Macaca mulatta: one gene and its partner. The protein of the gene in region 1 purifies or fractionates together with the protein of each later gene. This does not show direct contact. Links are inferred from orthologs where the notes say so. Each region holds a gene or a part of one and is shown on either strand. Other genes may lie near its edges.

The links.
Region 2: the proteins of S100B (region 1) and IQGAP1 purify together in Homo sapiens (co-immunoprecipitation; 3 studies listed by BioGRID and IntAct, with this or other methods). This does not show direct contact. The link is inferred for Macaca mulatta from reciprocal best matches to the Homo sapiens genes S100B and IQGAP1.

The regions. Positions count from the first base shown.
Region 1 is NC_133408.1:985,871-990,217, forward strand, and holds the start of S100B (protein S100-B), read left to right. Parts: upstream 1-1,438; 5' UTR 1,439-1,508; intron 1,509-4,062; exon of another isoform or gene 4,063-4,069; 5' UTR 4,070-4,070; coding exon 4,071-4,208; intron 4,209-4,347. UniProt on the Homo sapiens protein: Small zinc- and- and calcium-binding protein that is highly expressed in astrocytes and constitutes one of the most abundant soluble proteins in brain.
Region 2 is NC_133412.1:80,274,566-80,279,139, forward strand, and holds the start of IQGAP1 (ras GTPase-activating-like protein IQGAP1), read left to right. Parts: upstream 1-1,590; 5' UTR 1,591-1,655; coding exon 1,656-1,710; intron 1,711-4,090; coding exon 4,091-4,190; intron 4,191-4,574. UniProt on the Homo sapiens protein: Plays a crucial role in regulating the dynamics and assembly of the actin cytoskeleton.

The DNA of each region.
Region 1 (4,347 bases):
GGTTTCAAACTGTTTTTAACCCCTGCAGGAGCAGGCTGGAGCGTTTTCTATGGCTACTGAAGGGTGAATCCAGAGTTCAGGCTGCCACTCTGGGGAAGTGGTCAGCACTTACCGGAATGGTCCCTCCAACATCTGAGCGAGGAAGGGGCACAGAGCACAGTTGTGCCTTCCTTGGGCCTGGGCAAGCTCTGTGCTTCACAGAGCAAGCCTGTGCGGATCCTTCAGCAGAGACCACAGCCAGGGGTGGTGAAGCTTAAGAGGAAGTGAGGGCCAACCAACCGGCTCAGGCCGTTCCTCACAGGAGCCTGGGGCAGGCTGACCCACGCAAGACCACAGCTCTCGGCCCTGTGCTATTTCCAGGGCATACTTATAGATCCTGAATGGTAGAGAACTTCCTAGATAAAGCAATGACAGCAAAACAGCCGTGTACGCAGATATCTCGTGGGAAACCCTTTCACGGCCACTTCGAAACTGGGTTGGGAGAAGGACCTGATGCTGGGTCAGGCATCGGTTGGGGACCATGGACACGTTTGTAGAGTTTGGGCCAATGCTTTTGTGTAATTTGTCAGAAGGAACACCTACTTCCTCACTCTTGTGAGGAAGAACCCACAAACTGGCCCCCGTGTTCAGAGGCTCAGGTCGACAAGTTGAGGGGACAGCGGGACTTCTCCTTCTTCAGGCTGGCTGGAGCCTTCAGCAAGGGGTACACCGTCCACACGCCTCTGTAAAACAGCATTCGAACAGGACATCTCTAAGGCATTGTCCAACTCTGACAGTCTGTGACCTTCTACCCTGGGATGGAGGGAAAGGCCTTGGGATACAATCCACACATCATGTTTTCCCCTAAAAGTACCACCCTTTTTAGTCCCTGCAGACACTGGGTTCAGCAGCTTCTCTGAGGCAGCCCCATTGAGCCCAGGGCCGACCACAGACAAGCACTACCGTCCACAGAACCTCACGCCCGGTGGGGCCAGACGTGGAGGCTGGCAGAGGAGAGAAGCTCCAGGGGCCTCTCCATTAGAAACCAGCTTGCAGGCCACTTAATCTCCTACGCTCAGCCTGTGCTTGGAAGCTGCTGGTTCTTGGCTGCACATTTGCTTTGTTTGAATCAATTAATCCAAGTCTCTCTCCTCTCCCTACCCCCAACCTTGCCTTTAGGGGAACATCAATATTCATGTAATAAATAAATCACACAAAAAGCTGACTCCCCACTTCCTGCCCTACAGGCCCTTTTTTCTTCCTCATCCCATGTGCAATCCTGGCTCCCAGCAAGTCCCCGGGGCTGCTTGGTCAATGCAGCCCTGTGTGCAGGCCTGGCAGCCCTGCCACCCCCGCCCTCGGCCCCCATTGGCTGCCATGGCCTGCAGTGGGCTGCACCAGGGTTCATCCGTCCTCCCTGGGCAGATGGAATAAGAGGCTGCCTCTGCCCACTAGACCTGCCGCCCAGGACCCGCAGCAGAGACGAGGCCTGCAGCAAGGAGACCAGGAAGGGGTGAGACAAGGAAGAGGTGAGAAAGAGCCAGGCCAAGAGGACGCTCAGGAAGAAATGGTTGTTTTCGTTTGGGTGGAAGGGAATGGAGGGGTAGAAACTAAATGGTAGCTTAAAAAACCCCTTTAGGACAATTGGCAGCACTTCAGAAGTGTCAATAGGATGATGTGTTTTAATCTCTACATTATTGCTTCTTTGTGGACACCTGACTGCATCAGCCCTAGGCAGCTAGAGGTATTTTTCATAAATCAGAGAAACCTCAGGTCTCGGCCCAGAAGTGATTGCTGACATTTTCCCAGTGGTGCTACAAATACTACCTCTCCTGTAACTACTTGAAGAGTAAAGATTTTGCTTCCCACTGCAGCTGGAAATGATGGAGAACCTAATGCTAGTTTAGTCCATATCCTAAATAAACCCCTTTTCTCCTTGTTACTTTTTCCACCGCCCTGGGTAAGTAACTCTTCAGTTTTCCAGTTTCCCTCAGTTTGAAGTGCCAGGGTGACAACAGCCCCAGGACGCCACTCAGAAATTACGTAACAGTTACAAATAAATTGGGTCAAAGAAATTGGGGTTTTGGTGGGTTTTAACTTTCTTCAGTCTCACAGTTTCTTAGGGAGGTCGAACCCCTAGAGGGATCCTCACACGCTAGGTAACGTGTCTTTCTAAGGAGTTAAAGTTCAAATGTTCTCTTGTTCTCAATATTAAAAGATTAATGTAGGACATTCACAGAATGTGAGAAAGAAACAGATATTTATTTCCATTTCTCTTAAAAGATAAACTATAAACCATCAACTATTTATTAAGTCAAAGGGAAAAATTTAACAAGAATTTTTTAATTGATTTGTAGCGTGGTTATGAAGAAAACCATATTTTCTAGTGGTTTCTATTAGTGTTCTAATATATGGAATACATGTTTTATGCCTTTCCTTTGTAATAATCTCGTTAGTCATAGTTCATAGAAAAACAATTTAACCTCCTTTTCCCCAAATCATCATGGACTTTGAGGAGCATCAGAATGATGTAAAAGTGTCTTGTTTTGTTTTGTTCAAAAAAAATACACACACATATATCAATAATTGAAAACTTGAGTGCAAAGAATAAGAAAAGCATGAAATGTTAAAGATTTTAATCCATCTTAACTGTTCTATTTATGAATTACCAAATTTTTAGGGACTCAAGAGCAAAATAAAGTACACTGATTATTAATAGAATGCCTTTAGCAAAGATCTGGCCAGCACAAAAAAATCTTCAATCCTGTTTCCTTTGGAGCATCAGAAATAAATAAAATTTTTAACATCTAATTCCAAATTATTTTTAAGATGTAAGTCATATATTCAACATGGGAATGATTTTTCAACACTATTTATTAATTTATTTTTAATTATAACAGTGCAAATGTTCTTATTTGATGATTAGAACTCAAGGCCAAAAGCTGGTAAATTTCTCGGCCTGCCCATCTGTTTTGTGAGACAACTGACAAGGCATCCTTTGTAGAAGGCGCCTCATTCCCAGACTGATGAGATATTTCCTTGGTTTGCAGGCTGTGGCGTAAGGTACTTGCTGTGAGGGAGGTCGGAGGGCTCTTACTTTGACAGCTGCAGAGAAACACCTATTCCTGCCCCGTCCCAGTCACTGCAGTGGATGAACCAGCCTTTCCCTGCACTGGAGGTAGAATGCAGGCTCAGCAGCTCAGCTTCCTGCCGGATTCTGTCCCTCCCTGCCACAGAACCACACGCATTTAATCAGTTAAACTTAGGATACATTTTTTTTCCTGGTAGATCAAATAACTTTCACTGTTATTCTTCAAAAAGATTGTGGCAATTCTACCATATTTATTTTTCCAGATGAATTTTACAGCTATTTTTGTCATGTCACACATCCAAAAAAAATTCCATCATTTTTATTAAAAATGATTTAAATTTACATATGAATTTAAAGGAAAAACTTCCTACATTTTATGTTCCTCCGAATCTCTTGGAAGGACCTGCATTTTTCTTCCTAAACTTAGTCTTAGATCACATGCTATTTCTATATGAATAGGATATTTCGCACTGGATTTTCTATTTCTTTATTGATAGAATATAGGAATGCTCTTGATTTTTGTCTTATTTTGCTCCTAGTCACTGTCTCACTTTCAGATTGATTTTAACAGCTTGTAGTCGATGGTTTGCTCACCTGCACTCTACCACCTCATCTTGGAGCCTTACAAGAACAGAGAGGGACCCTGTGGGGAGGAAGCAGAAATTTAACCCGTGAATTCCTTTGCTGCTCTGCGTCTGTATTTTTGCTAAAGATTCCCTGTTGGACCAACCCAACCAGAAGCCAGAGGGCATGGGAATATATCCCTGTGGCCCACAGAGACAGAGAAGGCTCACATCTGTCTAAGAGGCAGGTGGAAGGATTGATAAAGGTACAAATTCCCAGAATGCCCCTCCAGGTCATGCCTGCTGTTCCGAGCTTGAAAAGAGTGCCAGGGCCAGTCCATCCCCCTTGTCTGGGTTGCGGTCTGTATTGATAACCTGTGAAATGTTTTATGATGAGGTATAGATGAGAAGGCATCTTTCCTTTGCGAGCCCCTAGGATGTCTGAGCTGGAGAAAGCCATGGTGGCCCTCATCGACGTTTTCCACCAATATTCTGGAAGGGAGGGAGACAAGCACAAGCTGAAGAAATCCGAACTGAAGGAGCTCATCAACAATGAGCTTTCCCATTTCTTAGAGGTGAGTCTTGCTTTTTACACTTGACACCTTCTCCATCTCCTCTTAAAAAGCCACCGGTACACTGGCTTTATCTTCTCAGCTGCACTGAAGGTAATTTCAGTTTCCTTCCAGGACTCCTGGGCTGCTTCTGCAAACTTGT
Region 2 (4,574 bases), on another chromosome or scaffold:
AATAGCTGGAGCAAAACATCTGGAGTCAGGCTATGATTTGGCATGCTAAATCATGCTGAACTTGGCCCATTATCTTGAAGGGAGTAATAAAAAAAAAATTAAAAAGAGAAACACAATTGCATTTGCACTCTAGAGAGAACACCGTGGTAACTGTGAGGATCTGGTTGGCAGAAGGGAGACTACAGCGTAATCACAACGGAGATGGAGACAAAAGTAGACACCTCAGAAATAAACACAGATTGGATGTAGGGCGTGAGGAAAGGAGCCTGGGGTATTCCCAGCGGGAATTGAGTACTTCTATGAATGGAGAATATAGCAGGAGCAGGGTCAGTATTTGACACGTGGGATTTGAAGTGTCTGCGCTATACACAGGTGAAAGTGTTCATTAGCTGAAAATACCAAGGGACTTCCAGATGATCTGGTCTGGTGATACATATTGAGGGGTCCTCAGCAGTTATAGGCGAGTGTAGAAAAGGTTACTGAGTGGGCAAAGAATAAACGGAAGAGGGCCGGGCGCGGTGGCTCACACCTCTAATCCCAGCACTTTGGGAGGCCGAGGCGGTTGGACTGCCTGAGGTCAGGAGTTCAAGACCAGCCTGACCAACATGGTGAAACCCCGTCTCTACTAAAAATATTAAAAAAGTAGCTGGGCGTGGTGACGGGCGCCTGTAATCCCAGCTACTTGGGAAGCTGAGGCAGGAGAGTCGCTTGAACCCGGGAGGCAGAGGTTGCAGTGAACCGAGATCACGCCACTGCACTCCAGCCTGAGCGACAGAGCAAGACTCCGTCTCAAATAAATAAATAAGAAAAAGAAAAAAGAAAAAACAGAAGAGGGCTGCGCTCATAATACCGTTGAATACCAATATCTGAAGGGCAAGCCACAAGGTGCAGGGGGCAGAGGCATCCCTGGTAAGGGAAAAGAGTTCTTTAGAAAAGAACTTGCAAAGAACAATGTCAAGGGATCTAAAGGTAGGGAGTTTGGACAGAGTTCCGCTTTAGCATCTGCATCTCAAATACCTGGGTAATCTGGTGACTGCTGCCGAATCTAAGAGGACTGAGGCCAGGTTGCCAAACTGCGGAGAGTGGGGTTGGAGGGCTTTTATGGCAGTTTGGAGCCTGCTTGTGTCCGACAAGATACCCTGGGCCACCTTCTCCGAGTATTGGTGCAGAGGTTAGCTGGGCCGGCAAGAGAAGGGAGATGACCCACTACTTTGATTTCAGGCAGCAGACACCCGCAGTTTTTCGGTTAGAGTTGCGGATAGGGCGGTGGCCCTGGGGGCGGGGCTATGAACCTGGGCGGGCATTCCCGGCAGGGCAAGCTCAGCGTGAGCCCGATTGGAGGATGGGCTCTACCTTCTTCCTTCCGCCTACGGAGACGGTAGCGGGATGCAGAGCGGGGCCGGGCTGAGGGGGCGGAGTTGGGGGCGGGGTATGGTGACGCTAGCCCCGCCTCTTTCCGGCCGCTCTGGGCGGTGCGGCAGGGCGGTGTCGCTCGGGCGGTCCCGCTGGGCCTGGGCCTGCGGGGTGGGGTTGACGGCATGGGCGGGGCCTCGGGGACCCGGGCAAGCCCGCGCACTTGGCAGGAGCTGCAGCTGCCGCTGTCCGCGCCTCCGAGGTTTCACGGCTTCTTCAGCGGAGACCCGGGCTCGGCCGCCATGTCCGCCGCAGACGAGGTTGACGGGCTAGGCGTGGCCCGGCCGCACTATGGCTGTGAGTGCGGGGCTCTGCGGCGCGGGGCTTCGGGGCCGAGCTAACTGCAGACGAGGCGCGATTTCCTTGGGGGCTCGGCCGGGCGGGTGGGGCAGGGCGGCTGCCGGCAGCTCGGACCCGGAAGAGCCGCCCGGGTGGGTCGGCGGGCGGGGAGGCCCCTGGTGCTCGCTCCCTCGGGGTCCGAGGCGGCGGAGAGGACCTCCGAGGCCTCCCGCCCTAGCTGGGGCCGCGGTAGGGGGGAGCCCCACCCAGCCCCTCCCGTCGCCCAAGCTCGACCGAGATTGGGGAAGACGGCCTAGGGTGAGGTGGCAGGAGGACCGCGCAGGGCGTGTCCCGGGGACTGGGGTCTGGGTACGCGGGCTCTGCCCGTTTCGTGGAAAGGCGCTGCCCTAGTATTGCCTGCGGGGTAGACCAGGGTCCAGACCTGTCCGGCCCCAGGCTAGGTAAGAGGTGCCGTCCTGGGCAAGTCACTTAAGTTTTCTCGGGCTTAGTTCCCTCCTCAAGATTTCAAAAGTAAAATAGTAAAAAAAAAAGAAAAAAAAAAAAAAAAAGAAACAAAATCCTAAGACTTCCTCATTTTCTGTTGTCGGCCCCGGACGTCATTGAACTGCAGGCAGGATTGGCTAAAGGAGGACCCTTTGAGATTATGAGGTTTTCGATTTTATTTTATATTCTGGGAATAATGTTCTTTTTTAAAGGATCAACATTTCACGCATCAACAGTTATTTGTGAGGTATTGTGCCACATTTATGAAATTAAAGATGAGTAAGATCAGGCCCTGCCTCCAAAGAACGTTTTAATCAGAGAGTCGGACAGGTGTGCATGCTAATAATTATAAGGTGCAATAACGATGAAAGATGCTGAACTTACTAGCCATACAGAGTAATGTAGGTAAGGAGAAGGGGCTTGGGGAAGACAGTATGAGCACGGAAGGTGACTTTTTTTTTTTTTTTTTGAGACAGAGTCTTTCTCTGTCGCCCAGCCTGGAGTGCAGTGGTGCAGTTTCAGCTCACTGCAAACTCCACCTCCCAGGTGCAAGCGATTCTCCTGCCTCAGTCTCCCGAGTAGCTAGGACTACAGGCGTCGGCCACCACACTGGCTAATTTTTGTATTTTTAGTAGAGACAGGGTTTCACCGTGTTGGGCAGACTGGTCTCAAACTCCTGATCTCAAATGATCTCCCCGCCTCGGCCTCCCAAAGTGTGAGCCACTGCACCTGGCCTGAAGGTGACATTTGAACAGAACCTTGAAGAATGCTGTGTAGAAAGTTTGACAGGTGGCCAGGCATAGTGGCTCCTGCGTGTAATCCCAGCACTTTGGTAGTCCAAGGTGAGAGGATCGTTTGAGGCCTGGAGTTTGAGACCAGCCTGGGCAGCATAGTGAAACTCCATCTCTAAAAAAAAAAAAAAAAAAAAAAAAATTAGCCAGGCGTGGTGTCCCACGCCTGTGGTCCCAGCTGCTTGGGGCTGAGGTAGGAGGATCATTTGAGCCCAGAAAGTTGAGGCTTCAATAAGCCATGAATGTGCCACTGTACTCCAGCCTGAGTGACAGAACAAGACCCTGTCTCAAAAGAAAAACAGTTTGATAGGGCATGTGGAACAAGAGACAGGATTTGAGGGAAGGACATGAACAAAGGTATTGAAGAGTAGCGGGACACTGTGTTGGGAACTGAGTGGTGTGGACTGCACAGTGATGGGAGGAAAGGCAGAGGAGAGTTTCCAAAAATAGTTGGGACCAGACTGGGAAAGGCCTTGAATGCCTTCCCAAGGAGTTAGGAATTTATTCCATACCTGGTGCCCATGAAGGAAGCAGATTGCTTCAAGGTTAAGCTCAGGCTTTGGAGACAGACTCTCCGGGTTTGGATTCAGGCCCTGCCACTTATTTGCCATGGGCCTGGGCTCACCCAGCCTCAATTTCTTCATCTGTAAAATAGGACTGATAATCACAGGATTGTTGTGGGGTTTCAATGAGAGAATGCATGTAAAATGCTTAGTACAGTTGCTGTCACTTATTTCTCAATAACTGCTGGCTTTGGTCATTAATAAAAGAGGGAAACAACATTATCAGATCTGTATTTAGAAGGAGTTCTGGCAGATAGGGACAGATTTCGGCCAAAATCTCAAGACAGTATTTTTCAAGATTACACTAAAACTTAGTACATATTTATACTATCATCCATGTTTAAAAAGGTCAAGATGAGTATAGTTGAAACCACATAGTTCTTGTTTTAGGAAAGTCATTGTAGTACATCTGGCTAGCTACACACTCATTAGTTACCCTGACTTTCTAGGTGAGTAGCAGGAAATTGATACTGTGGCAATCTTTTATCACTCAGGAACCCTACAGATCCTGGTGTTTACATTCTTTCTTTTATGTTTTAGCTGTCCTGGATAATGAAAGACTTACTGCAGAGGAGATGGATGAAAGGAGACGTCAGAATGTGGCTTATGAGTACCTTTGTCATTTGGAAGAAGCAAAGAGGTAAAGATTGGCTGGCTAGAGAGAAGATTAAGAGAAGGGAACTGATAATAGTGTGAACACAAATAAAGATTTCTTTGAGGCTGAGCACAGTGGTCCATGCCTGTAATTCCAACACATTGGGAGGCCAAGGTGGAGGGGAATCACTTGAACCCAGCTGTTTGAGACCAGATTGGGCAACATAGTGAGACCCTGTCTCTATAAAAAAAATTTAAAAAGTTAGCCGGGCATGGTGGTGCGCGCCTGTAGTCCTAGCTACTTGGGAGCCTGAGGAGAGAGGATCACTTGAGTCTGGGAGGTCGAGGCAGCAGTGAGCTGTGTTCTCATCACTGTGCTCTAGCCTGCCTGGGTGACAAAACTGTTTTGGGGGCAGGGGAAAAAAGAAAA